4 linked regions of the Struthio camelus genome follow. The protein of the gene in region 2 purifies or fractionates together with the protein of the main gene of each other region. This does not show direct contact. Links are inferred from orthologs where the notes say so. Each region holds a gene or a part of one and is shown on either strand. Other genes may lie near its edges. The genes, in order: PPP2R5A, AXIN1, HIPK2 and AMER1.

Region 1 (7,466 bases), on a different chromosome or scaffold from region 2:
TACGTGTACAAACTTCTTAAATTTTTTATTTGCAACACAACCATGTTGGATTAGCTAACAGAAGATTGAATTAAAAAGTTTTAAAAATAAGAAGAAGAATCACATCTAGTTTTCACAATCCACTGCCTGCGCATACACAAGCGCATAGCTTTGCCTGGAAAGGCTGCAAGAATGTATTCATAGGTATGCTGAAGGAAGTCTAACTCAGAGCCCTCACAAGAGAAGGTCCTGCCAACTAATCTCTGACTTCCAATCCCACGATTTTAAATCCTGCTCTAGGAGGAAGATAACAGATGGTCTCTGAGATAAGTGATTCTACATTATTTAAGGATTTATCAAGCAAAAGATTTAGGAACACTTCTGCTAGATAGTGACTATCCAGTGCAGACATGCAGACATTTACACACTTTAACCTGAAATATGTGAATAACTAACTTGGTTTTAGTGGCAGGCACAGTTCAAGTGCTTAAACTTAATCCCAGGCATGCTTGAAAGAGTAGAGCCTTAGCACAGAAAGTATTTTAAGTTAGCTGAAAAAAATACCTAGAAAAACCGATGGAATGGTGCAGTAGTAAATACAAGCAGTGTTGTGACGCACAGGGATTTTCCTTTAAATTCTTCATTTTGAGAAGGATATCAAAAGGTTTTCATAACCTCTTTCCCCACAAACCTTCCTGGCTGAGGGTTCACCCACTTATGGCATCCTCTTTACTATTATATTCCTCCTACTGTCTCGGAGAACTAGATTTCTTGCAGCTTGACCTGACAGAAGAATGGGAAAGCAGAACTAGTTAACTCCTTATCTCCTGGCCACCAGACAATTCCCTGTCCTCTGTAGCAACCTGATCCATGAAGCCCCACGCTTCCAAGCCAAGTTTGTTAGAACTCTAAAAGTTAATGACACATCAAGTTCCCATTCATATTTTTGAAGGTCTCACTCCTGCAGGGAAGATGCTGAGAAGATGCTAAGAATATACAGGAAATAAGTCTCTATGATTTAACGAAAAGTATTGCAAACGTGACGTTTAGTGAAATCTCTTCTAGAATTTTGCTCCTCCATTTAGAATGATAATGATCATTACTTCCTAAACCTTTGACTTTTCTTCCAAGTAAAGTTAGACACATGCACAAAGTTTTGCAGGATCCATGCTTCAGTGTATATTGAAGGCTCTGATTTAAGAGTTGGAATAGCTTGCCATAAAATTACCGTTCACAACATTCTCTGTGGATATCTCAGACTTTTATGAATTAGATTTGGAGCCAGCAGCTTATAGCCTGGCATCGTGACCACGTGCCTTTAAATACACTCTAAAAACCATGAGGTTCAGAAGCTGACTCACAAGCAGCTCACAGCTGTGTAGGAAGCCGTGTGTGCAGCAAGCAGGGAAGGGCAATCTCTGGCTTTCTCAAATGTAGCTGCTTCAAATTGCCAGTCGGAGCTCTGTTTCCTTTTTTCTCCTAACATCCCAATCCCATAGACCTGTATGCTCAACTGACTTTATTCATTCATGTAATTCCACTGACCTCGTTCACTAATTCAAATATTACAAATTCAGTTTGTGAAATTAGAGCCGGTCCACGGAGCTGCTGCTGATTCTTTTTCAAAACAGAAGAGTTATAATAAAAAGACAAAGGAAAATTCGATAGCTAAAAATAGATTTGAGAGAATAAAATTGTTTCTTTTTGTTGGCTGACTCAGATTTCACTGATATTTCTTGTGTGAGTGATATAAAAAGATAAGGTCTGAAAATATTTTCAGGCGCAATCAATATGAAAATTCCATCTTTGCAAGATTACAGCTATTATTTACTTAGGTTTCTGCATCAGGAATTTCAACTGCCAATGGATTTTTACAACATTGTCTTATCAGCATGGCAGCCATTCCAAAGCCTAGTAACCTTGAAGAAAGTATTTTAAAGCTCAGAAAATGCTCTTATGTTACTTAGCATTTATATAATGCTTTTCCCTGACAGCTTTCAAAATATTGAATGGATGGAACTTTAAGATAGATTCCTTTACACTGAGAAGAGGCAGCAAGAGTTGAGTTGCCACTAAAGACTGTATCGGACACACTAGACAGTGTCACTTTCTAAAAATGGGTGTAGCAGAAAATGACAGCTGTTGGAGGGCAGGCAGGAATACACTGACACAGGGACTGGGCCTTAGTGGGCTCTGAACAGGAACTATGGTCTTTGAAGTGAGAGGTGAATTAACCAGGTAAGGAGTGCAAGAATTTCCTTTATTACAACAAATACACGAGCTTGCAGTTTAAAGTGCCTAAAGGTACCCATTTTGTTTGTAAAATGGATTTTGTAAAATATATTTATAAAAATACAAATGAAATAAAAAGTCTACCTACCTACAAGAAAGATAACAGCACACTGCAACTTATGCTTAGGGAAAAATAACTTATAGATATATTGGATAGTCTGGAATACTTAGAAAAAAAATTCTTAGACTACTCTCCACATTTTCTGAATACTAAAGATTAATTAAAAGCAAAAAAGATGAAGGTACACAAGTAATCATGCATTAAAAAGTAAGTAGAGATGGTGTTGCCATAAGAAAGAAAAAAGGAAAGACTGATAAAATGAAATAGTTCCTATAGAACAGGCTTATACAGTCTTAGTTTTCTATGTTCACACAAAGCCATAACCTACACTTGATTTTTGATTTACTGATCATACATCTGAAGTTTAAACTCCCACCTCATGAAAGTATTTAGGAAACATATACAGTTACTTCACAGTATTTACAACCTACCAAAGACATTCAGATCTGAGCACATATTTAAAATACCACAAATATTTATTTGCTGAATTGGTACCTAAAACTCTGCATTAAGAAGAAATGTGTTGATATGCACGAAACTAGTCTGTCATCTCTACCTGAACGACAAGCTAAGGCATCCCATATGTTTATGGTTCAAAAGTAGGGCTGTTTGGATATGGAAATGGGACCGGGTAAAAGTCATATTTTCATGTAGTCATATACTGCATCCTCAAGCATCATGCTTTTCATTTGGTGTAACAGTTACAAATCTTGTTTTCCATGGCTGAAATTCAACTGGAATTATATAAATTGTACGGAATTTTTACTTTTTGCGACATATTTGTAATTGAGACACTAGACCCAAATTCCATCCCCCAAAATGCTGCTATTCCATTTTTTTGTGCAGAAAGATAGAATTTCTCCTATTCCCGCCCCCCATTCTTCCATTTCATTCATACCCATGGTGTAAAAGCAACATCTCTTGCCACCCATGGGCCTACAAGATTTGGTATTCTTATTCTAAGCCACCAACAAAAAAAAGAATAAACATTCACACTTTGAAAGTTAAGCACGTGCTTGCTTCAGACAACCGTGTGTGCTGCAGCAGCCTCCAAAACGGCATTGTGACTCAGTAAACGCCATGGTAACCCAGATTCATAAAAGTCAAACACATGGGAGAGAAAAATGCGTGGTGTCAGGACAAGCAAAAAAAAAAAAAAAATAGAAGCACTCGGAAGATAGCTAAGGACAACGTCCCCCACACAAAACTCATTTAGTTGTAGCGTCACTCCAAGCACACAGCGGCCGTGGTTAAGCACGCTTTTAGCAGTTTTCTCAGTGGGGAGCGTCTCCAGTTACCACACGTGGCTGCTAACGGCCCGCTGAAAGGCTCGAGCATAACTGCCGTTTTCCCAGCAGCACCAGTAATTTCTGGCCAGCCCCAGCCCTGCCGGCCGGCCGGCCCGTGCCACCCGGGGGGCGCCGAGGCCGGGAGCCCTCGACCCCCGCCACCGCCGGGCTCAGAGGCCGGGAGGCGGCGAGGAGCCCGGCGCAACGCCATGGCGCCGGGCCGCGCCGGAGAGGCGCCCAGGAGGGCTCCGGCCCGGGGAACCTGGTCACGGCGGCGCCTCCTGACCCCGCGACGGCGAAGCCGAGCGGCAGCACTGAGGCGGCCCCAACCCGGGGAAAGGGTTTCGCCGCCCGCACGCGGGGCGCCGCGGTAACGGCTACTGCGGCGGGCGGGGCGGGGCGGGGCGGGGCGGGAGCCTCGCGCGCCCAACCGCCTCCCTCCCCGGCGCGAACGCCGGCCTTGGGACCGCCCCCTGGCGCGGATTGGCCGGGAACCGCCCCACCCCCCCACCTCCACCTCTCCCCTGCGTCAAAGATTAAAAACCCGCCCACCCCCCTTTCGGCCTCATCCGGTTGGAGAAGCCTCTTGTCAATCACTCCTTCCCCGGGAACTCGTCCCAGCTCTCGCGTTCTTCCCACCCCCGGCCCGCGAGGGGGGGTAGTGTGTGTGTGTGTGTGGGGGGGGGGTTCCATGGTGCCCTTTTCGCATTGGCTGCTCGGCGCTGCCAGTCATCGAACGCCGGCGCAACGGCCGCTCCTCCGTGCCTTTCTTGCCCCCTGGCGGGTAACCGCTGCCCCGCCCCTCTCCCCTCCCCCCCCCCACCGCCTTCCTCCCCGCCTCAACTCCACTCGCGCCGCCAAGTTGCGCGACCGCTGGCTCGGCGGCTCCGGGGCTCGGGCGGCGCGGCCGCGGCGGGCGGAGACACTCCTGGCGGAGCGGGAGGGGACAGGATGACGGCGGAGGCGCGGGGAGCTGCCGGCGGCGGTTGAAGGCGGAGAGAGGGCGTGTGGAAGCGAGCGATTTGGGGAGGAGGAGGAGGAGGAGGGGGGGGTGGAAACTGCCTCCCCGGTGGGCTCGGCCCAGCGGCGAGCGCGGCCGATGACAGCGGGCTCGGCGCGGGCTGGCGCAGGCGAGCCCGGCTGAGGGGGGCCCGGAGCGAGTGAGGCGGGAGGCGGGCAGCAGCGGCGCCGCCGAGCCCGGCCCGCCGCGGCTCTTGTTGCGCCTGCCCTGAGGAGAGCGGGAGCCCGGCACGCCACCCCCCCGCCCCGCTCACGGGAAAGTTTGGCGTGTGCCCGCCCCGCCGGGCAAAGTTGTTGCTGGGTTTGTTTGTTTGCTTTTTTTGTTTTTCCCTTCCCTCTTCTCCCCTCCCCGCCCGCCGCCTCCCCCGGAGCCGGCTCCGCGCGGAGAGGAAATTGGGAGGGAAGCAGGAACTGGGGAGCGAGGCAGCGGCCCGCATCCAGGAGGCTCCTCAGCGCCCGGCAGCGAGGGGCCAGCGCCGGGACGGCCGCTGCCCGAGGCGGCGCGGAAGCCTGCTTGCCGCTGGGACACCAGCCCTCTGCACCGCCTTTCGCCTTGGTGTGTGTGCGCGGGCCGGCTTGAGGGCAGGGAGCCTTTTTTTTTTTTTTCTCCCCCCTCTTTTTTTTTTTTCTTTCTTTTAAGCCCCTTTTTTGCCCGCCCGCTTTCTCCCTCCGCTTTAATATATGCTTGTGGAGAGCGACGTCCCGCCGCGCCGCCTCACCGCCCAGCCATGTCGGCGGCCATCTCTGCCGCGGAGAAAGTGGATGGCTTCACACGGAAATCGGTGCGCAAGGCTCAGAGGCAGAAGCGCTCGCAGGGCTCCTCGCAGTTCCGCAGCCAGAGCAGCCAGGTGGAGCTCTCGCCCCTGCCCCAGCTCAAAGGTACCGCTGCCCCTCTCCCCCCTCCGGCTAACAGGTGCCCCGGGGCCCCTCGCCTGCCCCACCGCCGCCTGCCGCGGCTCGTCCTCCGGCCCCGGCTGCGCCCTGCCGCCGGCCCTTGCGGCCGTCGTGCTCGGCGCGGACGGGCTTTCTGCCTCGGGCCGCGCTTCTCCGCGGGTAACGGAGCGTGCGGGTCGCTTCTCACCGCCGCGGGGCTTAACTGCGCTACCTGGCAGCCCCCTTCCTGGCTCTTTTAGGAGTAAGCGTTGGGAGGGCAGGTAGGCTTCCTGACGGCTTGTGCGCAACTGTAAACTCTCCCTTAAGCTGATAAATTTGAGTGTAGGAGTAGAGAGAATTGAGGATTAAAACCGTGGAGCAAGTGGTGGCTCCTCCCACGGGGGGGGTTTTGCAAAGAGGAACTCGGTGCCTGTGGCATAATATCTTGAGTTATCAGAGAGGGTTTGCCTTTGACTTGTTTGTGCTTTCCCATCACCTCTAGACAGTTCTTGAATGACTCTTTACTTGTCTTATTCTAACTATCAGGAATTGCCCCAAAGCCTCTCTCCTGCTTAGTGTGGTACAGGATCAGTCACACGCAGTGAATTAAGGTTTTTAGATGCTGGCCTCACTAAAACTCAAAGAAAATAGTGGACGCTTATCCTGTGTCCTGAAGCTAAAATCTGAATAGTCTATGTTTGTTAGAAGAGTACAAAAATGAAGTTAGTTGTAGCCTGTCACACCTTTAAACATCAAATTCAAGTTGTATATATTTCTTGTTGTTTTAAAAATTACAGAAATAGTTATTAGGTAGAGAATATAAGTTTGTTATTAAAATAAAGTGTTTGACAAGGACCTGAGAAAGACGGTGGAGGTGTTACCTTAACGTTACCCAAAATACTAAATTTCTTGATGCTACTGTTGATCTTAGGATTTTTGAAGCTGTATCATGTGATGATGGACAGCAATCTCAATTTGCATCAAAAATACAGAATTTAAATGCAATTTAGCCAGCTTAAAAATAGTTTTAGGTATCAAATAACTTTTTTTTTTGCTGCTTGTTTTCTTCTTACGGCTTTTATAGTCATGTTTATAATATTTCAAGGCTTTTTTACTCGAGTGGTAGATGTACACAGTAGACAGTGTAAATCATGAAACTGTTAGCAGAAATGTTATTAGAAGCAAATAAGCTAGGGCAGGAAGGTAACAAGGGAGTTGTGGGTTTTTTGTTTTGTTTTTGTTTTTTTCCTCTCCCATATCTGTTGCAGTAACTGTGGGTGTTCTTACTGCTTGGTTAGGATTTTCTTTTCTCTGTCAAGTTCTATCCTATCTTGGTAAGCTAGTGTAATTTGAGAAAACTAGAATAATTATTTTAATTCTTAACCAGAGTAATTTGTTTGAGATCAGAATTCAGTTTCTGCTCTTGGTATGGCTACGTTTCTGCATATCTTTAATAATGACTCTCATGCATACACTGTTTAGACAGTGTATATTGCTCTCAAATATGATTTTTATAACACTGCTTGCTACTAAGACCCTGTAGAAGCACTTGGTAAATATCATGAATAGGTGGCAGAATTCAGGGAGTTTTGGTCCTGATTCTGCAAGCAGTTAAGCATGCATACTTTATGCAAGAAATGACCCAGCTTAAATCAGTAAAATGTCCAACTTTACATTCTTTGCTGAGTTGGAACTTAATGTTAAAAATGTTTCACTCTGTACAGTTAAGTCTTAGAGTTTTGTGAGTGTATTTTTAAAGCTGTGTTCTTGTAGTATAGGAAATTCTGCATGGCATCAGCAGCTCAGACGTTTGGAAATTTGAGGCCATGAACAATCAGAGGAATGTTTTCAGTTATTCATAGTTTTATAGTAGTCTGAATTGCCTTAAATTCTTAATGGAAAATAACATCTGGCTTTGTGCTTATGGTTTAAATTTAAGACTCATACTCCAA
Region 2 (6,857 bases):
CGGCTCCAATGCCACTCCCCCTCTGGGGCTTGAACTGTCAGCCTCTGGCCAACAAAGTCCTGCCAGCATTTCTCTTGCTCCTCCCAGGTCCAGCCAGGCCCCGAGGAGCAGTAAGCAGTGGAGGCTACTGGGAGGGATGCCAGGAGCTCCAGGGCACGCGAGGGCCCAGCGTGCATGCTGAGTCCAGGTACCTCAGCCACGTGCACCCTGCTCTACCCAACCTTGTCACCCCCCGCTCGCCACTCTCTGCCCTCCTACCCCTTGCCTTTGGGAGTCTCTCCCAGTGACTTGCATGGAGAAACCTGGATTTGATTTCTCACGTGAACTCAGCTCTGGCCAGGAATTCTTGCTGGGCCTTTCTCCGAGAGACGAAAAGCCCTCTAATACCTGATAGTCTCTCACCCATGAAGCTGCTTCAGCACTGTAATCGGGGCACCTCTTAGGCTCCTTTGAACTAGCTAAAGAGGCTGCATTTCTCAGGCATCTCAGTGCAAAATGTTTTCTCTAGAGACTGGGATCCTGTCTAACTCTTCTCTGCCTGTGCTCTAATTTTTCAGCATCCTTTCTCAAACGCAGACACTGGAACAGGGCGAGTTTTGGGTTCCCATCTTACCAGTGTCCTAGACACCTAACACCATCCTGCTCCTCACCACTCCCCCACTTCTACATCCCAGGCTGGCTTGACCCCTTCTGCTGTAGCATCAACCCCCCATCTCGGTCAGGACTTCCCAAGGGGCGGCTACCCCGGCTCCTACACTTTCATCCGGTGCACAGATGTCTCTGAAACTCTTTTCTGAATCGTTCCTTTCCAAAGTGCAGTTTTCCGTTAGAAGCAGCAGCCTGCATTCTGTGCTCCTAAGAGGTATCATTTTGCATCTGTCCACATTCAAGCACACTTTATTTGCCTGCACTCAGCTCATGAAGTTTTCTACAGCTGGCTTGACCTCGTCGGTGTCTCCTGCCCCTCTCGTTTTCCTGGCTCCTGCATTTTTCTCAGCAGGGCTTTTTAATCTATTTCTAGACCATTGAGGAAAATGCTGAATAGCATTGGGCTTCACATCAAACTCTGCGGACACCCACTGAGAATGCTCCCATTCTGCAAGGATTCCCCATTGATGGCTGTCGGTTTGCCAGTTCCCAGTCCCTTTAAGGTGTCTCTCTTGATGTTGTATTGTGCTAATTTTTAATCAGAATACTATATGGATTAAGTCACATGCCTGAACAGAGTCCAGGTCTATTATTCCTGTGCCATAACCTTTATCAGCCGAACTTGTAATCTCTTCAAAGGATGACATCAGAGTTTGACAAGAGCTATTTTCCAGAAACTAGGCTGATTGCATTAATTATATTCCATCCTTTAATTCTTTACCAGCTGAATCCCACATCAGCTTTCCCATTATTATGCCTAGGTCAGTGTTGCACTGTTACATGTAAATCAGCTACTAGCATCATTCACATGAAAGAGCACAAGGAACGGCACCCTTCTGCCGGGCTCTCCTGCAGGGTAGGGAAGGGGAATACCCCCGGCTGCGGTACATTTTGGTGCGTTTCAGAACGCTGAAAAACACGTTGTACGTTCCAGAAAGCGTCCCCTGAAATGCATGAGCACCAAACACAAATGTGAGCAAGTGCTGAACGTACAGGTACACACAGCAGAATAATGCTGATTTTAATCAGCAGCTGATCCTTATCGGAAATCTTTTTGAGCCGCTTCTGGTTTCCAGAGGACTGTCTCGTGGCTTGTTTGCTTGTTTAGCTACCGGGATCACAGTGAGGGGTCTGCCTGACTCTGACTGTCTGTTCACTTTCCAGGGAAGAAACAGGCTTCGGATTTCCCTGTAGTAGGAGTTCCCTGAATTCTTGTTCAGTCTTTGCACGTGGTAGTCCCCTTCTTTTTCTTTTTGCAGCGTCACCCAGCCCTCCCACACATGAAAGCCTTACAGTCTAGGTGTTGGGGTATCCCTTCCAGCCAAGGGCTTTCTCTAATCAACCATTTCTGGGTAAGGCACCATCCCCTCCACCTTTTCTCAGGAAGAGTCTCCATGTTGTTTCACCTATTTCAGTCTATACAGTGCCACCTCTTGGTGAGTTCACTTATTTATGCTAGCTGCAGAATTGCGGGGTTCCTCAGAGAAACAGGAGACGCACGAGCAGTTTTGAAATCAGCTCTAGTTGTTTGGCCGGGCGAGAGCCACCCGCAGAGCAGTTATCTGCACTCCTCTATCCCTTGGCCCACAAACGCAGGTCTCTTCTAGGAAGACCTCAAATAAAAATTAACCATTAAATCCCACTGCCTAGCAGAAGAGGCCTAGGAGTAGTGTGGAGCCAGCCTTGAGGATCACTGCCCTTTCCTTTCCAAGATGAAGAGAGATCTTTTGTGGGATGTAGCTGCGCAGCAGAACAGCAGGTCTCTGAAACACGAGTCTCTCCTGGGCTGTGTTCTGGTCAGGATGCTTTAAAGAGCTCTCCTGGGCTTATTTTGTCCAGAAAAGCAGAAGAAAAAGGAGGTGTAATTCCATGCTCCTTTCCCACCTCCGGAGCTGCTCAGCCTTTGAGTAAGGCAGCAGTTCAGTTAGGTTCTCCTAGGCTTTCCCAAGGCAGCAGAGCCCATGGGCATGCCAGAGTCCCGGACCCCTCTCAGCTACCCACAGCGGGCAGAAGTTACGCACTGAGGCGTGCGTGATCCCCGAGGTCACCCTAGAGGCGCGGGCTGCTCTTGGTCTGGGATATCCAGAGGGCAAACCGCCCCACTGACCGTGTCAGCCTGTGTTCACGTGGGCCGTTCCCCAGCTGGGCCTTTGAGGTCTCCCACGCTTCCGCAGTCCCCGTCTCGCCCCCGAAGCAGCGTGGCCACAGGGCCTCAAGGAGCGCCGACCCTCGCGGCAGCTCAGCAGGGCTCACGAGGCCAAACCGCGGGGCCGCACCAGGCACGCCGGCCTCCCTTGTGCCAGCGTCCTTGTCCCCTTGAGCGCTGACGGGCGCCCAGATCACGTGCCCTCCTCTTACGGAAAGGTGCCGGGCGCTTCTCCTTGGATGCCTGCCGCTGGTCCCCGGAAACGACCGCGTGGTCGCTGCGGCTGGGTCTGCGGTGGCGGGGCCGGCGGGTCGCTAGGTCCCGCACCCGCCAGGCGACAGAAGGGACAGCAGGGCTCGGGGCCGGCGGGTCGCTAGGGCCTGGGCGACGGCGAGGCTCGGGGACGGCGGGCCACCAGGCCCCGCACGCGGCCCGGGCGACGGCGGGGACGGCGCGGCCGGTGCCCGGCGGGTGGCCAGGCCCCAGGCGCGCTCCGGGGAGGGAGCTCCGCGCCTCGCGTGCTGCCCGGTAGCGCGGTGGGCTGCGCGCCCGGGCGGCGGCCCCGCTCCCCCGCCGCGGCCGGCCCTGGCTCGGCCTCGCCGGGAGACGGCGGGCAGCAGCGCGGCCCTGTCACGGGCCCCCGCGGGGCCTGCGCCGGGGGCGGCCGCGGGCAGGCGGCGGGGCCGGGGCCGGGCGGCCTCGGGCGCGCTGCGGCCCCGGCGGCGGCGGCGGCGGCGGCGGCGGCGGCGGCGCCTCCCCCCGCGCCCGGCCGGGCCCGCCCCGCCCCCGCGCCCGCCCCCGCCTCCGCGGCCGGGCGGCGGAGCGCGGCGCGGGCTGGCGGCGCGGGCCCGGCCCGCAGTACCGGGCGGGGGCGCGGGGGGCGCGGCTGAGCCGCTCTCTCCCGGCGCTGCGAGGCAGCGGCGCAGGCGGAGCGGTGCGGGGCTCGCTGCTCTCCGTGTCGCCGCCAGAGCCAGCGGCCGCGGCCATGGGCGTCCCGGGCCGCCCGCTTTGTGCCGCCGCCGCCGCCCCGCCGCCGCCGCCGCCGCCGCCCGCCGCCCCGGGCCGCCGCCGCCGCTGCTGAGCCGCATGGGCCGGGCCCCGCGCTGCCGCCGCCGCCGCTGCTCCGTGCGGGTGAGTGAGCGGAGGGGAGGCGGCCCCGAGCCCAGGCCCTGCGCCGAGGCCGCGCCGGGAGGCCGCCGCCGAGCCGGCGCTAGGCCGCCAGGGCGCGGGGGGCGGGCGCTGCTGCCGGCGGCCGCGGGGCCGGGCCGGGCCGGGCCGCGCGGGGCGGGAGCGGGAGCGGGAGCGGCGGCGGGGGCGCGGGCCGCCCGGGCGGGCAGGCCGGCCCCGCCGCTCGCCTGCCCCGAAGTTGCCCGGCGGCGGCCGGTGCCGCGCTGCGGGGCGGGTTCGCACCGGGCCGCTCGGGGCAGAGCCCTGTCAGCCTCGGAGCTTGAATCCCGGCCCGCGGCGAGCGGCTCGCTGCCCACGGGCGGGCTGAGCCGCGCGCGAGCCGCCGGCAGCCCCCGAGCGGGGCAACTTGGGGCGGGGGCGGCGGGATCAAGGCGGCCGGGGGGCGCCGGCTCGCTCCTCCCCCCCCCCCGCCCGCCCGCCGCGCACGTCGGGGCCGAGCCGCGGGCCCGGCGGCTGCAACGCGAGAATCGCGCTGCGCCCCGGGGGCAGCGGCCGGGGCCCGGCGGCCGCCTCGTCCGCCGCGGCGGCCGCTCCCCGCCCGGCCCCGACGGGGGGGCGAGGGCCAGCGATGGAGCCGCCCTCGCAACACAATGACCAAAATGGCTCGTGCGCCCGTCCCCGAGCGGGGCTCTGCGGCCCTGGCGGCCGGGGCACCCTCCTGGGCGAGAGCGGCGCGACCGCGGCGCTCGCCGCCTCGGACCCCGGGCGAAGATCGCGGCGAAACGCGCCACGCAAAGCAGCCGCCCGGCTCGCCGGTGCCCGCCCGTCCGTCCCGCGCGCCTCGGGCCCGGGTGCGAGGAGCGGTGGCCGCTCTTGGCGCTGCCGCCCGTTTCCATGGGTCTGCTGGGTCCTGGGTGATTTTGCTGGGTTTCGGTGACGCGCCGGTTGGCTGTAAGGACAGCCCGCCGTGGCGGCTCGTAGGTGGTGTTTTTCAGCTCGGCCGAGGAGAGGAACCGGGGGAGACAAAAACGGCCACGCATCCAAAAGATGCGTTCATATGGGTGGGGTGAGCTCGGAGAGAGAGGCTGAGTTGAAGCGCGTCTTCCCTGCTATGTTTGCACGTGCGATTGAGTGAATGCAGTGCAAGGAGCAGTTTGGCAGGCAGCTGGAGCTTTGCAGTACGCGAGGGCTTCGAGGCTGACGGCGTTCTGCACAACAAAACTTCTGCTGCTGCCTTTAAATAATTAAGTGACTTTGCCTAGCCGCGAAAGTAGCTGTCCAGGGATCGTCCTCCTCTGCTTTTCCCTCCTTCCCCGCACCTTCCATCCTCCATCTTGACTTGTTACTCTTCTTTAAAAACGTCACGACTGATCAGGTTGCCTTCTTGAGATGCTTTTCCCATCTTCGTTTGATGACCTGAAGTTTTCCCAGGCTTACAGCACGCGATGTTTGTTAGCTTAAATGAACCCTTGCTACCTGGCCTCTCTCTGTGAAGCGCAGTGCCAGAACTGAAATCCTGTAGTAACATGCCCGTTACATGCAAGAATGTAGTTCAGATGCCCAAAATATTGGGGTCATTGGTGCGTTTGGATTCCCCTAGCACTAGATAAGACCGTGCAGCGCGCCTCTAAAAGGCAAGAATTTCGGGGGAATTTCACATTTCACATGTCACCTGATTGTATGGGCAGCCACCTGCGCTTGGCCAAGTTGTGGGCTCACTTTCAGTACTGATTGGATATTCTTTCAGAGTATTTTTCCCAGGCCTTAAACTCCTGCTTGGGGAATGAGGAAGTACTAAATCTGTAGGCAGATAAAAGCATATTACCTTGGTGTGACTTACTACATCTGCTAGTTAGACTTACTCTATTTAATCTGCAGGTAAAGTTAGTGTCCGGTTTAGGAGGCTGCATGTGTCCTTTTTCTGCGTGCGGGCTGTTTGCCAGTTGGTGCTCCAAGCGTAGATCTCTTGGAAACGGGGACTGCCAAATCCCGGAGTCCTGTAAAACCACCTGTATTTTGAAGTTGGCTGCTCTTAGTGTAGTACCGGCTGTATCATTTATCCTGAATGCTGGAACTAAAGTTTTGGAATGATCTTTAACAGTTATTTCTACAGGTAGGAAGGGAGTACCTGCTTTGGTCCCGATTTTGCTCTCTCTGAAATGGCTCAGAGCTTTGCCATTGGCTTTATTAAATCTTCTTTTTCAGCACAGTAGTGCAAAGCAAAATTAGTGGTCTGTAAGCTTAGAGTGTTTGTTTGCAGTAATACTTGATTTTTTTCTCATCTATTTCAGCAGAACAAAGGTGTTCACATTGGAGCTACAAACATTGGTGTTTTGAGATTTCAGCTCTTCTCCTACGGTTCCTGTGCGAGCAAGTGCCATAAAAATGAACGTCCAAGGGAAAGGCTTCCCTTTGGACCTCGGAGGAAGCTTCACTGAAGATGCTCCGAGGCCACCAGTTCCTGGTGAGGAAGGTGAACTCGTGTCCACAGATCCAAGGCCAATTAGCCATGGTTTCTACTCCAGTAAAAGTGATGTCGTTAGAAATGAGATGTCCACAGCAACACCAAGGCGCTCGGATTTGGATTTGGGGTATGAGCCAGAGGGGAGCGCTTCGCCAACTCCACCCTACTTGAAATGGGCCGAGTCGCTGCATTCCTTGCTGGATGATCAAGACGGTATCAATCTCTTCAGGACTTTCCTGAAACAGGAGGACTGTGCAGATCTGCTGGACTTCTGGTTTGCCTGCAGCGGCTTCAGGAAGCTGGAGCCCTGCATGTCTAACGAGGAAAAAAGACTCAAACTGGCAAAAGCCATTTACAAAAAATACATCCTCGACAACAATGGAATTGTGTCCCGGCAGATCAAACCAGCCACAAAAAGCTTCATAAAAGACTGTGTCATGAAACTACAGATTGACCCCGACATGTTTGACC
Region 3 (7,992 bases), on a different chromosome or scaffold from region 2:
AGGTTTCTTTAGGAGAAAGCGGGAAAAACTGCACCTTGGTAGGCTGCATCTCCAGCATTGCCCCTTGCACGCTGTTGGCATAGCTATGGCCTGCTGGAGGGAGCAGAGACGGGGAGGCACGCTGCCTGCATGGCTCTCTGAGCCCCTCTCACCCTTGCCCAAACAGCTCAAGCTGGGCCCCGCTATGTGCGCAGCTCATCCGTTTTCCTCCGGCGCTCATGGGGACGCAGCAGTGGTCACCACCAGCGCCTCTGGGAAGATCTTGAAGAGGCATTTGCTCATCGTGCTCGGTTACGTGACAGCCAGTAGCCCTGACTTCACTGCCACATTTCTGCGATGAGCTTGAGCCAAAGCCACTGCTGACTATGGGATTCTCCCTGTTTCGTTCAGCAGATGTTAGAGCCGGCCCTATGCACGGGCTTTGACCTTATTTTTGAATGATGACTGACAGTCATGTCTGAAAACTTGCCTGCTTTCCTTCTCTCACTCTGTCCTCCTTTTACCCTGGCCAAAATCTGTTTCAACTTCCAAAAAAGAAAGAAAGAAAAAAAGAACACCACTCCCAAGCCCTCACCACTTCTGGCAAAGAACAGTAACTCTTCCCTATATTGCAGTTACGTGTAGAGGCTCTGGTTGTTACCAGCAGCCTCCGAGACATGTCAGTCATACACTATGTGTCCTTCTGGAGAAGAGAGCAACATGCCCAGGGTCGCCGAGATCTGAGTATCTGGACCAGAAATGGAAACTAGCCCTCCTGAATCACAGCCCGGTGCTGTAAGAAGGCATCCTTCCCTCCCCAGGCTTCGTATCCACCACCACTGTCAGTGAGTTATGGTGGACAGAGCTGATGATGCCGCTCTTTTGGTGGTGCGCGATGCTGCCTGACAAGGCTGTGCGTTTCATGAGTGTGCTGAGTACTTATATCCAGATCATGGGTGTGTTTTTGATAGATTGAAGTATGCAAATGAATAAATGAAAAATCATAACATGACACGTTAAAATGTGCTTCTCCAGCACCAGCTACCCGTCTTCCCCTACAAGAAGGGACCAAAGAGGGGAAATAGTCCGTTAGGATAGGAGAGTCTCTGTGGATTGAAAATTTTAGTGACATGTCCTGTCAGTCTCAGGCTTTTGGAGAGTGGGCAACCATCTCTCATGCGGGTGGCCTTGTCCTGGGGGGGCTGAGGCTGCAGTGCCCGCGCTTGCGTCCCGATGGGCATGTTCGCACTGCGTGTTTGGCCGTGTCCAGGCTTAGAGACTTCATCCAGCAGCTTTGCTGTGCTCTGCGGCTGCTCCAGAGCTGGGGACAGTGAGCTTGTCAGCTCGGGGGGCTGCGCTGCCCAGCTGCCTGAGGGATTTTGGGGTGCGCTGCCCGGACAAGTGCTCCTCTGCCACTCCAGTGTGATGGAGAAACAAACCATCCAGTCTCTGCTGAAAGGGGGCAACCCCATTCTGCTGTTAGCCTCTGCATTTTCTGCACGACTCAACCTTCACGCCAATGCAGGGGGAGCTAAATCCACCCGGATGGGCTGCCTGTCTTCCAACATCTCCCACGACAGGGTTTCCCGACACGGTCTAGGGCCACGGTGACATCGGCAAGACAGCCAGGAGGTCCCCGTGTTGCCTGGTCTGACTCAGGTGGGATGCAGGCGGCTGGGGCAAACCTCCTTGTGCGGCTGCTCAGTTTTGGAGGGAACTGAAAGAAGGCAGTAGGCTGCGAGCTGGGCTGTATCCTGAGTGCATCCCTGCCTGTGCAGGGCAATGGGAAAGGGCAGCGAGCGGTTGTAGCTCCCTGGCCCCAAGCCACCCTCCACGAATGCCTTGCCAAGGAGACACTCCTGCCGGAGAGAGTCGGGGGGAAGCCTGTGCCCCAGAGGACGAACCTTTGCTCCTTCTGCGGGCCCAGACGCTGTGAGCTTGCTCCATGCGCCGGGTTTTAAGAACTGATCTGGGCTGCAGTCAGAGCCCATTGGAGCTGGTTTTTGTTTACCCACGTGACCTCAGTTTGCAGCAACATTTGAAAGTATGTGAGACTAGAACAGTCCTAGCTGGTGGAAATAGCTTTGCTGACTGTCCTGTCACTGCACTATCAGCAAATGAGGATCGGTGTTTTCTGTGGTGTTACCAAGCCTGAAAGGCAACCAGGAATCGTTGTCCTGGGCCAGCCACATGCTCCATCAAGTTCAGCACCTTGCCTCTAGAAGAAGTAAAATAAGCTGTGCTTTGAATCCAGGCGTTTTTAGCATTTTGTAGGTACGTCATGCCCAGGCCTTTCAGTGTGGCTGCTCCGGCGTCCCTCTCCACACTCTACTCGACTGCAGGGAGTGGCAGCACCATTTCCATGCTTGGGCAACATGAAGCGCACCCTGAAAAGCCCTCTGCCAACCCCCTCTCTTTTCTTGGGGGGGCAGGGACAGGGTTTGGTTTATTTTTTGTTTTTAGCTCCTGCACCATGCTGACTTTGATGGGAGTGGAGTTAACTGAGGACCAATGGCTGCAGGATAGCTCTGAGTGAAATGGAGAGGGCGAGAGGAAAAAGAAGAAAGCATCAGTGCTGCTGTCATGCAGTGGACGCCGTTACCACTGTCCCCATTTTACAGCTGAGGAAAGTGGGGCTGATGTGGCTAACCCAAAGCCACGCTGCAGTAAGACGCTATGCTGGGGAAAGAGGCCAGTTCCTTTAACCTCCTGCTCCTTCCCCTTTGATCATGTCCTCTGCTTTTCTCCAATGCTATCCATCTCTCCTCCATGGCTTTGAAATGGGGCTCCGCACAGCTGCCACTCTGATCGAGGGCAAGGAGAAAGGCCTGGATCACTAGCATCAATAGCCTTGAAAAGCAGATAATGTCCTCAATCATAAAAGAAGAGAGAAGCGCAGAATTACAATGACCAGAAGCATGCTCCAGGAAAATGTGAGGTTATCAAGTCACTGCTGAACCCTGATGGTACATCTGCATGGCCAAATAAGAGGCACGTGTGAATACTGCGCCCACCGTCATGCACACTGATTGCTCCCTGGCTCTGCCTTGCCCTTCTTCAGTAGTCCAGCTGAAGAAAGCTCCGTTTCTTTTCAAGACGATGGGGTATAATCTGGTGTCGTTCAGTCTGGGGATCACGCTCAAAAGGAAGAACAGATGAGACCGCAACCGGTTTTGCTCCCTCTGCTGTACACAGTCCTCCAGTGCTGTCCCAGCAGACTTTGCACCCTCAAACACCTCCACCTGCCCTGTCTGCCATTCTCCAGCACAGTTAAATTTCGTGTTGTAAACATAAAGCTAATGGGCTGCAAGGCAGCCCTCGTGGTATTAAAAGCCCTCATGGCACTTTTTACTGGGAGGGGGAAAAAAAAGTAAAATACGAAAGCTATCTGGCAAATAATGGGGTCCAGGATCATATGCTCTGCTGCGTGGACATGGCCATCCTGCTCCAGGCGACGATCAGCAAGGATTGCTCTGTGGTCCTTTTTTCCTTTGTAGCACTGGCATGCCCTGAGCACCCCAAGTCTAGGAGCTGGACCGTCAGGAGAACTTGACTCTCACTGTAATCACTAAATAAAAGTTGCCTTCCTCCTCCTCCTCCTCCTTAAGGTATCTCACCAGGAGTGGCGGGGTGTCGAGCCCTGCTGGAATCTAATCCTGCGCTGGGAGAGATCTGGGCTGGCACCAGCAGCAACGAGAAGCACCGTTTTTAGGGCTAGCCACAATAGCAGGTGCTAAGAGAATACGTCTTCACTGGTCTAGTCCCAGACTGCTTGCCGGTAAGGAGCTCCAGGCGGGCAGATCCAGATGGGAGTTATTGCAGGATCACAGCCCAAGGTTTTGTTTCCACCTTTGCCAGAGGCTTTGCTGCTGTGTGTCTTGTGTGCGTCTCAGCTTCCTTGCCTGCGTAATGGGTACCTGGTGACTTATCTTCCCTTGTAAAGCCACTTTGAAGCAAAAGACGTTCTGGATAACGTGGCTTTACCTAGAGCTTTCCTGTATGCACTGACAAAAATGATGCTGGTCGGGTTCGTGTTCTTTCTAGCAATAGCTGAATGAGAGAGACAGATCTTTCCAAATAAAATTGAGGGGGGTGAGGGTGTAGTGGCTGTCAATCTCAATAAGTAAACACTTCTTTGATGTGGTTCTGTTTAACAAAAAAAAAAAACCTCAAATCCTAAAAGCAACAACGTATGTTTATTTTAAATGCATCCTCTAAATATTTACACTGCAAGCAAGCTAAATGGAAAAGAAAGGAAAAATTGGAACTTTTGTCAGCGAACCAGATTGTGAAATGCCTTGAGGGAACAGAAGATTTATTTGGGGAGAGGGGGAGAGGTAGGAATTTTCCATGCTATTGTAAAACATGAGCTCAAATTATATGATCCCCACAGCCAGTGAATTGCAAAGCTTCAATCAGCTGCCTTTTTTATTTTTTTCCTCCTCTCTTTTCTATAAAGAGGAGGGGGGGGGGAAGACAGAAGTGTTTCACCAACTTCTGTTGACTGTTCCTTTTTTCTCCTGATTGAAATGTGTTGTTAAACAAGATCCCACATAATCTCAGCAGAGGGTTTCTCTCGCTCGCTCCCTCTCCTTCTGGGAAGCCGCGATCAGTGCCATCGGCGCTTGATTATTTGCAAACTCCCTTCGCTTTTTTTTTTTTTTTTGCCTTTTTTTTTCCCCTCCTCTCCGTCTCCGTCTCTCCCTCTCCCTCCGTCTCTCTCTCTCTCCCTTTCTCTCGCCCCCAGTGCAACTTTTGCAGGGAGCCCCGGCGCACGCAGCCATGCCGCGCTGAGCGCGGGGGCACGGCGCCAGCCCCCCTCCCTCCCTCCCTCCCTCTCTCCCTCCCTCCCTCCTTCCCTCCCTCCCCAGCGCCGCCGTCCCGAGCCGGGGGGGCCCCGCCGCCCGCCGCCCCTGCCCGGCCCCGCGCCTCGCCCCGGCCCCGGCCCCGGCCCCGGCCCCGGCCCGGCCCCGGCCCCGGCCCGGCGCCGCCGCCCCCCGCCCGCCCCGGCCGCGTCGGAGGGCCGGCAGCGGGGCTGGATGTGCCCGGCTCCCCCCGCGCTGAGGCGGGCAGCGATGCAGAAGGCAGGCGGCAGCTTCGCCTCCGCCGAGAGACACCCGCTCAAGATGGCAGATGTGTGCTGAGTTTGGGGGGCTGCGATCTCGCGTCGTTCGTGGCGGCGTTGCCATGAATAACAGGCGTCCTTGCACCGATGGCCCCCATGTACGAAGGTAAGGCTGCTACCCCCCCCCCACCCCGGCCCGACCCGGCCCCCGGCGCCGCGGAGCCGGCACCGCTCTCCGCCGGCCGCGGGGGGCCCGCTGCTGCCCGCCGGCCCCGGCTGCCCCCCCCCCCCCGCCGCCGCCGCCGCATCGCCGGCTGCCGGCGCCCCCCCCCCCCACCGCGGCTCCCCGGGGGAAGGGGGACGGGGCGGGGGGACGACGACGACGACGACGTGCCCCGCTCCCCCGACGGGCCCGGCGCGGCTCGGCCCCTGGGGGGGGGGATTGTTTGGACCCCCGAGGTGGTGGTGATGGTGGAGGGGGGGGGAAGGCGGGGTGTGGGGGGGTGAAGTCCGTGTCGGTGCCGAGCAGAACAATGAGGTGGACTGAGCTTGTGTGTGTGTGTGTGTGTGTGTGTGCCTGCGTGTGCGCCTCGGTGTAGTTTTAATTTCCAGCGCTGACCACCCTGTGCCTTTTTCGCCTTATTTTCACCGAGTTAGCCCTTTCTGGGGTTTTGCCGATCGGCTACACGTATTTTCCGGGGTGAGGAAATACTCGTGTGTGGAGGCATAGGCGCCGGGGAGGGGGGATAGGGGCTGCGGGCACCAGCCTGTCAGCTCTTACAGTTTCTCCTTGAATCAAGCCCTGCGTTGCAGTGAAAGCCCAAAGTACCCTAACTTAAGTTTTTTCGGGTCGAAAACAGAAGGGGTTGGATACGGGCATATCTCGGGTGACTGGTAAAAATAAATAAATAAATAAATAATTCTGGCTTAATTTAAATCACCTAGCGATGTGTTTATTCTCTTCCGTCACCCCTTCTGGTTTGGAATTGATTGTAGAGCGTTACATAAACTAGAGGGAAATCCATCCGGCTTTATTTTATTTTGCCCAGAAATGTTTTTTTTTGTTTTTTTTTTTTTGCTCCGATCGATTTATAGCGGTGGGAGATTTTAATGCCTGGGAGAGGAAAGGAATAGGGGAAGCAATACTTTTATGTGTATGGCGAGGCTGATAAAAACTTATCTGAGGGGAAAATCTAGCAGAGGCTGAAGTGCTGCAAATGAACGCGCTTGCCAGATGGTCTAAAGTTACCGAGCCGGCTGGGTTATTTCTGGGTAGCCTTCGGGAGCCCAGATGATGCCGACTTTTGCACCCCCGAAAGAAACAAAGAGGATTGTTTTTCGGCGGCGCCGGGAGGCCGGAGCCCATCCCTCCCCCGCCGCCCGCGGGGGGCGGCCGGGCGGTGCGGTGCGGGGCGGCCGCGCCGCCGGAGGGCGCGGAGGGGCCGCGGCGGCGGCGGGGGCCGCGCCGGGCCCGGGGTGCGGGTCGGAGCCGGCGGCGGCGGCGCCCTCTGCCGGCCGCGCCGCGCCGCGCCGCGCGGCGGGGCCCGCGCAGCCCCCCGCGGTCCCTCCGCACCTGCGCGGCCTCGGCGGCGGCGGCGGCCGGGCCCCCTGGGCTGAGCCCGCCGGGCGCGGCGCGGTCGAGGCGCCTGCCCTGCCCTGCCGCGCAGCGCCTGCTGCTCTTGCTGTCCCGAGCCCTTCGCCGGCTTCAGCGCCTTGGAGCACGCAGCGATCCGCTGAAGTTCGCTCCTAGCCGGGCTGTATCCGCCGAGGAGGTTCGTTCCCGGCGGCGGGGTTACGGCTCCGCTCCGGGTCACCGAGGCAGGGCGTTTCGCTCGTCGCCTCGCTCGCCCGGAGAGGGAATAACGAGCGGGGCCTGCGGTTGCTCCCCGCCGGCCCGGCCGCGCTTCCCTCACCGCCGGCGGGCGCAGGGCTCCCGCTCCTGGGCGAGCGGAGGGGAGGCCCCGACCCCAGCCTGGGGCCGCCCCGGTGCGGGAGCCCTCCTGGAGGCGAGAGGAAACCACACGAGACGGTGGTGGCACGCAGAAGCGTCTGCTGGGAGTTTAGCAGTTCCTTGCAGCATCCAGACTTCAGCTGTGGCCCTGCTTTTGCTTGCCTGGGAAAAGACGCTAGACCACAAAAATCCCCCCAAAAGCAGCCTGTAAGACTTGCTCCCTGGAACCCCCACAGAAAAGCCAGCAGGCTCCGTGGCCAAACTCTACAGTTAATGTCAAGCCTTAAAGTAGGTGCATGTCTCAAATCCCCAGAGCCAATAAACAGCATAAAGGCTGGTTTAGATTGTTTTATCAGTTTTTGGTTGCAATAGGTCTGTCAGTGAGGTTGCTTTCAGAAAGCCTAGAGGGAGGTGGAGGACGGCTTAATGAATGTTATTCAACTCCTAGTTGCCATGAGAGGTCCTTAGTATTCCCTGAAATACCACAGTGCACCGATAAAAACTTACTGCACGCGGGAGACGATTCCTCCTTAGGAGACAAGGACTGTGATCCTCCCTTTTCAACACAGTATTGCGTGTATAATGAGATTGGGCTGTAGTCCTTCTCTGGAGCATCAGGTACATTTAGGCCGCTAAGGAGAGCGCAAGAGCTGACGTGTTGGATTAGGGCTTGCACCGGGCAGTAACTTCTGTATTCTCGCCGTTGCACCAGCGCTGCACGAGGCCGAGTGATCTCTTTTGGCACACGCACTTACACGCACCCACCACCACCACAACGAAGGCAAGGGTATGTGGAACTGTATCTCTCCCAACCATATAGATTTCAGAACATAGGCTCTTTTACAGAAAATATGCCCTGGGAGGAAATGTGACACCTTGGAAAATGATTCCAGTAGAAGTTTTAAGTGAGTGATAACGTAGAGCACATGCACAGAGTTGCTCACAATTCTGAATATTTAGGTGAGTGCAGGGTGTACAAGAACTAGGCAGCTGGCTC
Region 4 (7,561 bases), on a different chromosome or scaffold from region 2:
CCTGGTCGCCGCACCCACGAGCACCGCATCTTTCTGATCTTTGAGATTTGCATTCGTCACCGACCTCAGCGTTCCCCTGCTCGGAGTTTCTGTTTCTTCTTTTGCAAAAGGAAATTCTTTCATGTTTCATCATATTTTAACACTGGGCAGGGGGGGTTGGAGCTGGTCTGGGAAACAACCGAGATACTACTGAGAAGAAAGAAGGCACCGCGGACTGCAAAATCTCTCCTTGCTACAGGACTTCAATCTTGACCAAAGCTAACTTGTTCAACTATCACGGCGTCACAGCGACGACCCACACAAACCGAAGGGGTAAGCCAGGAGCACCACGTTTTTTCCTCAGACGCACTCTGTTCATTGAGATCACAGCTACAAGTTCTGTGAGTAGTAACCACATTTGAAAAAAAAAAAAAAAAAAAGCAAGCAAGCAAATACTTTTACGAGCCTGGTGCAAGTTTAACAGCTCTGCCTGAAGAAGTCGCAACGCCTCCCTTAAGTCTGGTACAGAATTAGAACGCAGATTCCTCCTACGTAGGCATTCCTGTGCCTCTCCCCACTCGAAACCATGTGGGTACAGCTTTGTTTTTGTTCTCTGCTGCAAGCATAGTTTATCTGTCTGCTGGCCAGGGGGCCAAGTCTGATCTGCTGCTGTGCTTCACCTCACAACTGGCCAACATTTAATTTTCTTACGTGAAAGAGAAGTCTGGTGAGAAGGATTACAATACAATTGAGGAAAGGAGACATTTCCAGAAAACACATACAGGCAGTCACCCGGTATTTGGGGAAGACTGGCTGGATCAAGGGGCTCAAGCAGTTCACTGTTAACCCGAACACTAACGCTTGCTCAATAGCTCAAATCCTATGCAGGCCTGAAGCATACAGAGTAAGCACCGACAGAAGCCTGACCAGTGCAGCTCAGCTCTTTTGTTCTTTCAAAAACTGCACTGAAAAAAAATCAGCGTTCCGGTTGCAGCTTGCAGATAGCTGATTTTTGCTCGACAGGACACCAGCCACCTAAAAGCAGGGCCACAAGCCACTCGGAGTTAGCACTTGGGGTATGATGGCTGGGGGAGGAGAAACACATGCAGGAATCTGGGGCCACATCTGACACTGCAAAGAACTGTGCTGCAAGACTCTTTGCAAAAGGCTTTCTAAGGGCCTTAGAAAGCCCCAAGGGTCTACCACCTGCTTTGACAGGATAATCCAGAGCTCACTCTGTGTCAACCATTTGTCAAGATATTTTCTCTGCCCTGAAGGCACCATCTCTGAAAGCGAACAACCCACTTCAGAGTAGTTCAGCTCTAGGGGAGAAGGAAGGGGAGGGCAGGACAAAGAGATCATTGACTGTACAAACTGTCCAACCTGTCCAGAGTTAATCTGTTTAGTTTAACTCTCAGAAGTACAGCACAAGCAGGCTTTCTGGAGGTTGCTCATGGAAATCATCAGGGAAAAGGAGAAGATGAGATGGCAAAAGTGCAGCATCTCTCAGGTTGGTTCAGTTTAAATGGAGAACTGTTTCATAAAAGAGGAACTTCAGCCACGTTTCCCACTCAGCAAGGACGTGAACTAGAGCAGCCTATCTCTCCTCTGTTTCCTCACCAGGCTGCCACCAGACAGCCTGTGCTGTGGACTGTGTCCTGGGACGCCAGGCCCATTTCAAGACTTACCATCTCAACCTTAAGTTCTCCCTGCCTGTGACCCACCACCCTGTATGGGATGGGACTTACGGGGCAATCTCACCCTTCGCACAGCTCTTGGTGGAGTCAGAGTTCCCACTCACCCCACAAATGAATTGGGCCAGAGGGTCCACACGCCTCTGCAGAACATGGAAAGCACTTGAGGTTTAGAGTTCCACCATCGCAAAGGCTACAACAGCAAGCTCTCCAGACGAGCAAATTTCCAAAAGGCTTTGGCTGCTCATTCCTCACAAGAGGTGTGTTAGGGAGTGCGCTTTTGCGGCGCTGTATTCATTTGAGCAGGGGTGCCGCCGAGAATCTCTCTCGGCAAGGCTGCAGCAGATGAAGGGAGCTGCAGGAAGCAGCAGAAGGCAAGACCAGCACCACTGGCAGAAGCGCACCATTTCACACAGCCCCCTCAAATTCATCACCGAACGTGCCGATACAGCTCTTTCACTCCGTGGGTCTCACCTCTACAAAAACGCGGCTCAGAAAGAAGTCCGAAGCAAACTGCAGGGGCAAATTTCCACTCGTCCGATGGATTTAACTGCTGCTCCAAGCCAACCAAACTACTGGCACCGTTTCTAAAAGGCGATCAGAACACGAACAGCTGCCCGCACCCTCAAGGCGCTCTGTTAGAACCCTGCAAAGTTAGAGATAAGCTTTACGATTTTAACACGCTGGACGATGCAAAGGCAGCTGGTCGCGAGTGAGAAAGCGATCAGGCAACGAGGCAGACGAGGGGCATTAGCCGTGTGCGGGGGGCACACGCTCAGGTCGCCAGGCGCCGGCGCAGGCCCGCGGGGGCCGCCGCAGCGCTGCCCAGGGCAGCGCTCCCCCCCCGCCCCCAACCCCGGCCTCCCGGGACACCGGGCCCCGGGGGAGGGGGTGGGGGGGGGGCGGAGCGCGGGCGGCGGCGGGGACACGCGCGACGCCTCCCGCCCGCCCGCCCGCCCGCCGCTGCCGTGAGGCGAGGCGAGCCCAGCCCGGGCGGCGCCCAGCCCCGGGCCTGCCCGCCGCCGCCCCCCGGCCCCTCGGCCCGCCCGCCGGGCCTCCGCCGCCCGGGCTCCACACAAAAGCCGAGCGGCCGCCACCCGCTCGCCGCCGGCCGGACCGAGCCGGGCCGGCGCGTCCCTGGGCGCGGCGACATGGCTGCGGGGGAAGAGGCTCCGGCTCCGGGGGCCGCGGCCGGCACTTACCGGCTGCGCTGCGCCGCCGGCAGCCCGCCGATGCGGGCGGGGAGGTTCAGCGGCCGGGCATTGTGTGCGGCGCGGGCCGCCCCCGCCAACCGCGGCCTGCCCCGCCGCCCTGCGCTCGCTCCGACCGCGGGGGAGGGCCCCCGGCAGCGACAGGCTGCGGCGCCGGCGAGGGCGGGCCGAGGAGGGGCCGGGCGGGTCAGCGAGCCCGCCCCGCGCGGCGCCGGCGGGCGGCGGGCAGCGCCGGGCGGGGGCGGGGCCGGGCGGGGCGGGGCGGGGCGGCGGGCGGCCGTTGGCGGCGCGCGGGGCGGGGGGGGGGAGCGGCCGTTGGCGGCGCGCGGGGCGGCGGAGGGGGGGAGCGGCCGTTGGCGGCGCGAGGGCGGGCGGCCGTTGGCGGCGGGGCGGCGGCCGTTGGCGCTTGTGACGCCCCCCCCTCCCTCCCCGGGGACCCCGCGGGGACAGCCTGGTGGTGTGACTTGGGGGTGGCTGTGACTCAGCGGGTGACACGGGGACGCCGTGTGTGTGGCACCGTGTGCGGCTGTGACACCACAGGTGGCACAGGCGTCGCCTGGTCGTGTGACACTGCGCGCACGCACTGTGGTGTTGTGGGTGATGTGGGGACACCCTGGTTGTTTGGCACTGTGCGTGTAGCTGTGGCACCGCGGGTGGCATGGGGACGCGCTGGTTGTGTAACGCGGGGTGTGTGAGACTGTGACGCTGTGGGTGATACAGTGACAGCATGCGTGACATGGTGTGCGTGGCGCCGTGAGGCCCCGGTTGCGGGATACTGTGTGTGTGCAGCTAAGACGCCGTGGGTGACATGGTGATGCCGCGTCTGACACTGGGTGTGTGACACTGTGACACGGCGGGGGTGTGCTGCGGTGACAGGCTGTGCACGCCCTGCTGTGACAGCGGTTTTGTAGGTGCCGCTGTGACACGGTGAGTGCTCCTGTGACACGTGTGTGCCCTTCTGCAAGATGGCGTGCCTGTGCTGCTGTGACGTTCGGGTGATCCTATGACACCGTGTGCCACGGTCACCCTGTATGTGTGCTGCTGGCACAAGGTGACACTGGCACTGTGACAGTGTTTGTGTGCTGCTGTCGAACCACGTGCCACTAGCACCTCCTGTGCATGCTGCTGGCACACCGTGTGTGCCACTGTCACCTCGTGTGTGTGCTGCTGTAACCCCACTGCATGTTACACCATGTGTGTCACTGTCACCATGCGTGCGTGCTGCTGTCACCCTGTGTGCCGCTGTCACCCTGTGGGTCTACTGCTGTAGCCCTGTATGCATGCCACTGTCATACCATGTGTGCCACTGTCACCCTGTGCCCATTCTGCTGGCAGCCTCGTGCCACTGTCACCGCATGTGTCCTGTTGTCACTGCTTGTGTCACTGTCACCTGGTGTGTGTGCAGCTGGCACACCATGTACCACAATGATGCTGTTTCTGTGCTGCTGTCACCCCATGTGCCACTGGCCCCTCATGCAAATGCTGCTGTCACAGTGTGCCGCTGTCACCGCATGTGTGTGCTGCTGTAACCACCCTGCAGGCCAGTGTCACACTGTGTGCCGCTGTCACCTCATGTGTGTGCTGCTGTAACCACCCTGCATGCCACTGTCACACTATGTGTGCCCCTGTCACCCCATGTGTGTGCTGCTGTAGCCCTGTGTGCATGCCACTGTCACCCTGTGTGCTGCTGTCACCCCGTGTGTGTACTGTTGTCACCCCTAAGCCCCTGTCACCTCCCCCCCCCACAGGCAGGGAACAGCATCAGCCAGCACTGGGCTGAGGAGGAGGAGGAGGAGGAGGAGGAGGAGGAGGAGGAGGAGGAGGAGGAGGGAACCTGTCCTCGCGGTGGGCCAGGGCGAGACCTGCGCAGGAGGGTCCAAGTCAGCCCAGCTGGAGCGCTGCGGGCAAAGCGCCCTGCTCCGAGCGTGGGGGAAATAGCATTTTTCCCCACCTCTGTTTTGTGTGAGCGCCCCTCGCCCTTTTCTAAGTGATGTATCGCACCTGCCCAAATTCAATTTTGGCCACTGGCCGCTTGGGATTTCTGGCGAGCGATTTCTGCTCCGTTTAAAGTGCAGGCTCAAATAAAAAGAGTCTCGGTGGATAAATACCCATGACCAAAGACGAGGACAGCAGCAGCAGAGTGCCTTCCACTACATGCCTTTTTCACCGAAAAATTTGATTCGGGAACAGCAGAAACAACTGACTCTCCGCTCATCTGAACCACCTCCGGTCAAGACCCAGTATTAGTAGCATTTGCATGCTTTACTCTTGTTTTAAGGTTCAGCCACGGTAAAAGTCAAGTAATTTTGCCTTGCCTATATTTTTGCATCGTTGTAGGTCAGGCGTAACCGCTATCCCACACGATTAAAAATTCACCTTTTTTTCAGCAAAGACAAAATCTATGAGAAGCTGAGGCAGTGATGAGGACGCTGGAGAAGCGGTCGGGATCAATTGCATCCACATTAAACGCAGGGTGGAATTAAATGAACGGCAATACCGCCCCCTCCCTCACTCACCGACAGGGAAATGCCTCTCAGGAACTCAAAATAAAACCATATAAAATGTTTTTTAGCCTAAAATAAGTAAATAGCAGTAAGAGGGTTTGCTTTGCACAGCTGTTTGCATTAGCTGGAAGGTTTGGGCTGTTACGTCCGTGTTAAATGTAACAAGAGATACATCTCAGAAATTAAAAAGGACTGGAATACACTATTCTCCGTTGTACTACTTTCTGTTCCCTATTTTACCACTTTATTTCTTTTTTTTGTTTTTTTTTTGCCATTTTATCATATTCCCCACTGTACCATTTCCACTCCCTATTTTACGTTCCTTCTGCCGGTGCTGATTTAAGAGACACAACAACCTACCTCGTCCCTGTTGTGACCGGTGAGCTGGCTGCAACGTCCTGCCACCGCATGACGCGGGGCTCCAGATCGGTAACCCTAAAGCAGCTCTGCGCCCACCGCGCGCCCAGCGCCCGTGCATGTCTCCTGGAGCCACCCTGGGGACTGCAGGAGGGTCCCCGCAGCCATGGCTGATGGCCACAGCAGGTCACAGGGGAGGACAGGAGGGCCTGCTTTGGGGATGAAAGGACTTCACTCCTGCTTCGGGGAAAAGGAGGGTCGTTTCGGGGACAGGAGGACTTGCTATGGGGACAAAAGGGCTCGCTCCTGCTTTGGGGACAGGAGGGTCACTTTGGGGGGGACAAGAGGGCTCACTCCTGCTTTTGGGACAGGGGGGTCCCTCTGCTTTGGAAGGACACCTAGTGGCATTAGTGGGGTAAGAGCAAAGGACCGGCACGGAGTGGTAGCATTCGCACATTAATTCCCCACAGAGCAGATACGCCTTTGTCCTCCGACAGACCAGCATTCGTCAAACTGGGACTTCTTGTTACTGTGTTTTAAAGCACCTTAATCATTTCATAGCACCTTCTAGTGCTCCAAATTTGCGAACGAGGGAAGGAAGGGACACTACGCAACTAAAGCAGAGCACTGATTTTAACCGAGTCGTTGAACAGAATACGCATGCAACACGACTACGGTACCCTGGTTTATTCTTCCACATCATTTCACTCTGCATCTGCAAAACACCTCCCTAGACAGTTGTAGCTGTCCTCATTAGGAGGACGCCCTGTCATCTTACCCCAGGAAGAAAGTCACAGCCACACGATTCGGCGGGCTCTTGAGAAAAGCTAAGAGAAACGTTCATGCGTTTAACTTGGTTTCCTAGTACTGACCAGCACTGCATGACAGCTTGTGTTCAGTCAACGCTGTACTTTCTTCGGGGTGAAAACTGTGTCCTTGCTTTTTCCCAGCACGCTGGGAGAAATACAGTAGCAGCACAAGCGGTCGAAGCCTCCGGGGAGAGTCGGCCCTATGATTCTGAACGTGGTAAGCGGAGTCTTGCAAGTCTTGTTTGTCCTTAGATAGCTAACTAATGGCCCAACTTCTTCACAATGTATTAGGTTTTTAATGATGTACTACAGGTTGTTACTGGAAACTCTCAACCAGTTCATCATCAGCTTTTTAACTTTTTCCCTAAAACTTTCTTCCAAGGCAAACAGCTTTCCAGCCTCTGTGGCGACCTGAGGGCTATTTTATCTGCTTTATCCTAATCATCTTAATTTGCAAAGGGATTATCAAAAGTACGTCCCAGTGCGAGGGGCCGGCGGGTGCGCGGGCAAGAGCTGGGGGTCGCAGAGGGGGGCTGCAAGCAAACAGATGACTCCGTGCGGAGCCAGATGGTGCCTAAGAGCTGCTGCAAGTCCACGGATTAGCTGTCACGTCAAGCGCCGAGATGAATAGCATGAATGAGAAATGCGCACGCTAGGCCGAGAGCTGAAATATTAAACCAGCTCATCAGCAGTCAGACGGGCCCGATGCACCCCGCCTCCACTTTGCTCGGCAGCTCCAGAGGCTGCGTTGCCAGAGGAGAGGAAGCAAACGGCAGCAGTCGCCCATGGCCTTGGCGGGCGGACGCTTCGTGCCCTCGGTCGGGGCAGGTGAGGCAAGGCAGGAGGTTTCCTCAGGCTTCAGCAGTCCCCAGCAGGACACGAGGAGGTCACGTCCGTCCCAACACAGGTTGCTCACAATGAACTTAGGGAACCACCAAAGCCAAGACGCGCGCAGGATGGGGATGTCCCAGAGGACCTGCGTGGCTTATGCAGCCGGGACTCAGGGG

Evidence for each region.
Region 1: the proteins of AXIN1 (region 2) and PPP2R5A purify together in Homo sapiens (affinity purification with western blotting; 3 studies listed by BioGRID and IntAct, with this or other methods). This does not show direct contact. The link is inferred for Struthio camelus from reciprocal best matches to the Homo sapiens genes AXIN1 and PPP2R5A.
Region 3: the proteins of AXIN1 (region 2) and HIPK2 purify together in Homo sapiens (affinity purification with western blotting; 3 studies listed by BioGRID). This does not show direct contact. The link is inferred for Struthio camelus from reciprocal best matches to the Homo sapiens genes AXIN1 and HIPK2.
Region 4: the proteins of AXIN1 (region 2) and AMER1 purify together in Homo sapiens (affinity purification with mass spectrometry; 4 studies listed by BioGRID and IntAct, with this or other methods). This does not show direct contact. The link is inferred for Struthio camelus from reciprocal best matches to the Homo sapiens genes AXIN1 and AMER1.

Annotation. Positions count from the first base shown.
Region 1 is NC_090944.1:114,069,506-114,076,971, forward strand, and holds the start of PPP2R5A (serine/threonine-protein phosphatase 2A 56 kDa regulatory subunit alpha isoform), read left to right. Parts: upstream 1-4,462; 5' UTR 4,463-5,369; coding exon 5,370-5,520; intron 5,521-7,466. UniProt on the Homo sapiens protein: The B regulatory subunit might modulate substrate selectivity and catalytic activity, and might also direct the localization of the catalytic enzyme to a particular subcellular compartment.
Region 2 is NC_090956.1:19,077,478-19,084,334, reverse strand, and holds the start of AXIN1 (axin-1), read left to right. Parts: upstream 1-3,839; 5' UTR 3,840-3,925; intron 3,926-6,213; exon of another isoform or gene 6,214-6,216; 5' UTR 6,217-6,307; coding exon 6,308-6,857. UniProt on the Homo sapiens protein: Component of the beta-catenin destruction complex required for regulating CTNNB1 levels through phosphorylation and ubiquitination, and modulating Wnt-signaling.
Region 3 is NC_090942.1:64,165,247-64,173,238, forward strand, and holds the start of HIPK2 (homeodomain-interacting protein kinase 2), read left to right. Parts: upstream 1-4,976; 5' UTR 4,977-5,191; coding exon 5,192-5,210; intron 5,211-7,992.
Region 4 is NC_090952.1:6,355,419-6,362,979, reverse strand, and holds the start of AMER1 (APC membrane recruitment protein 1), read right to left. Parts: upstream 3,011-7,561; 5' UTR 2,876-3,010; intron 2,320-2,875; 5' UTR 2,148-2,319; intron 1-2,147. UniProt on the Homo sapiens protein: Regulator of the canonical Wnt signaling pathway.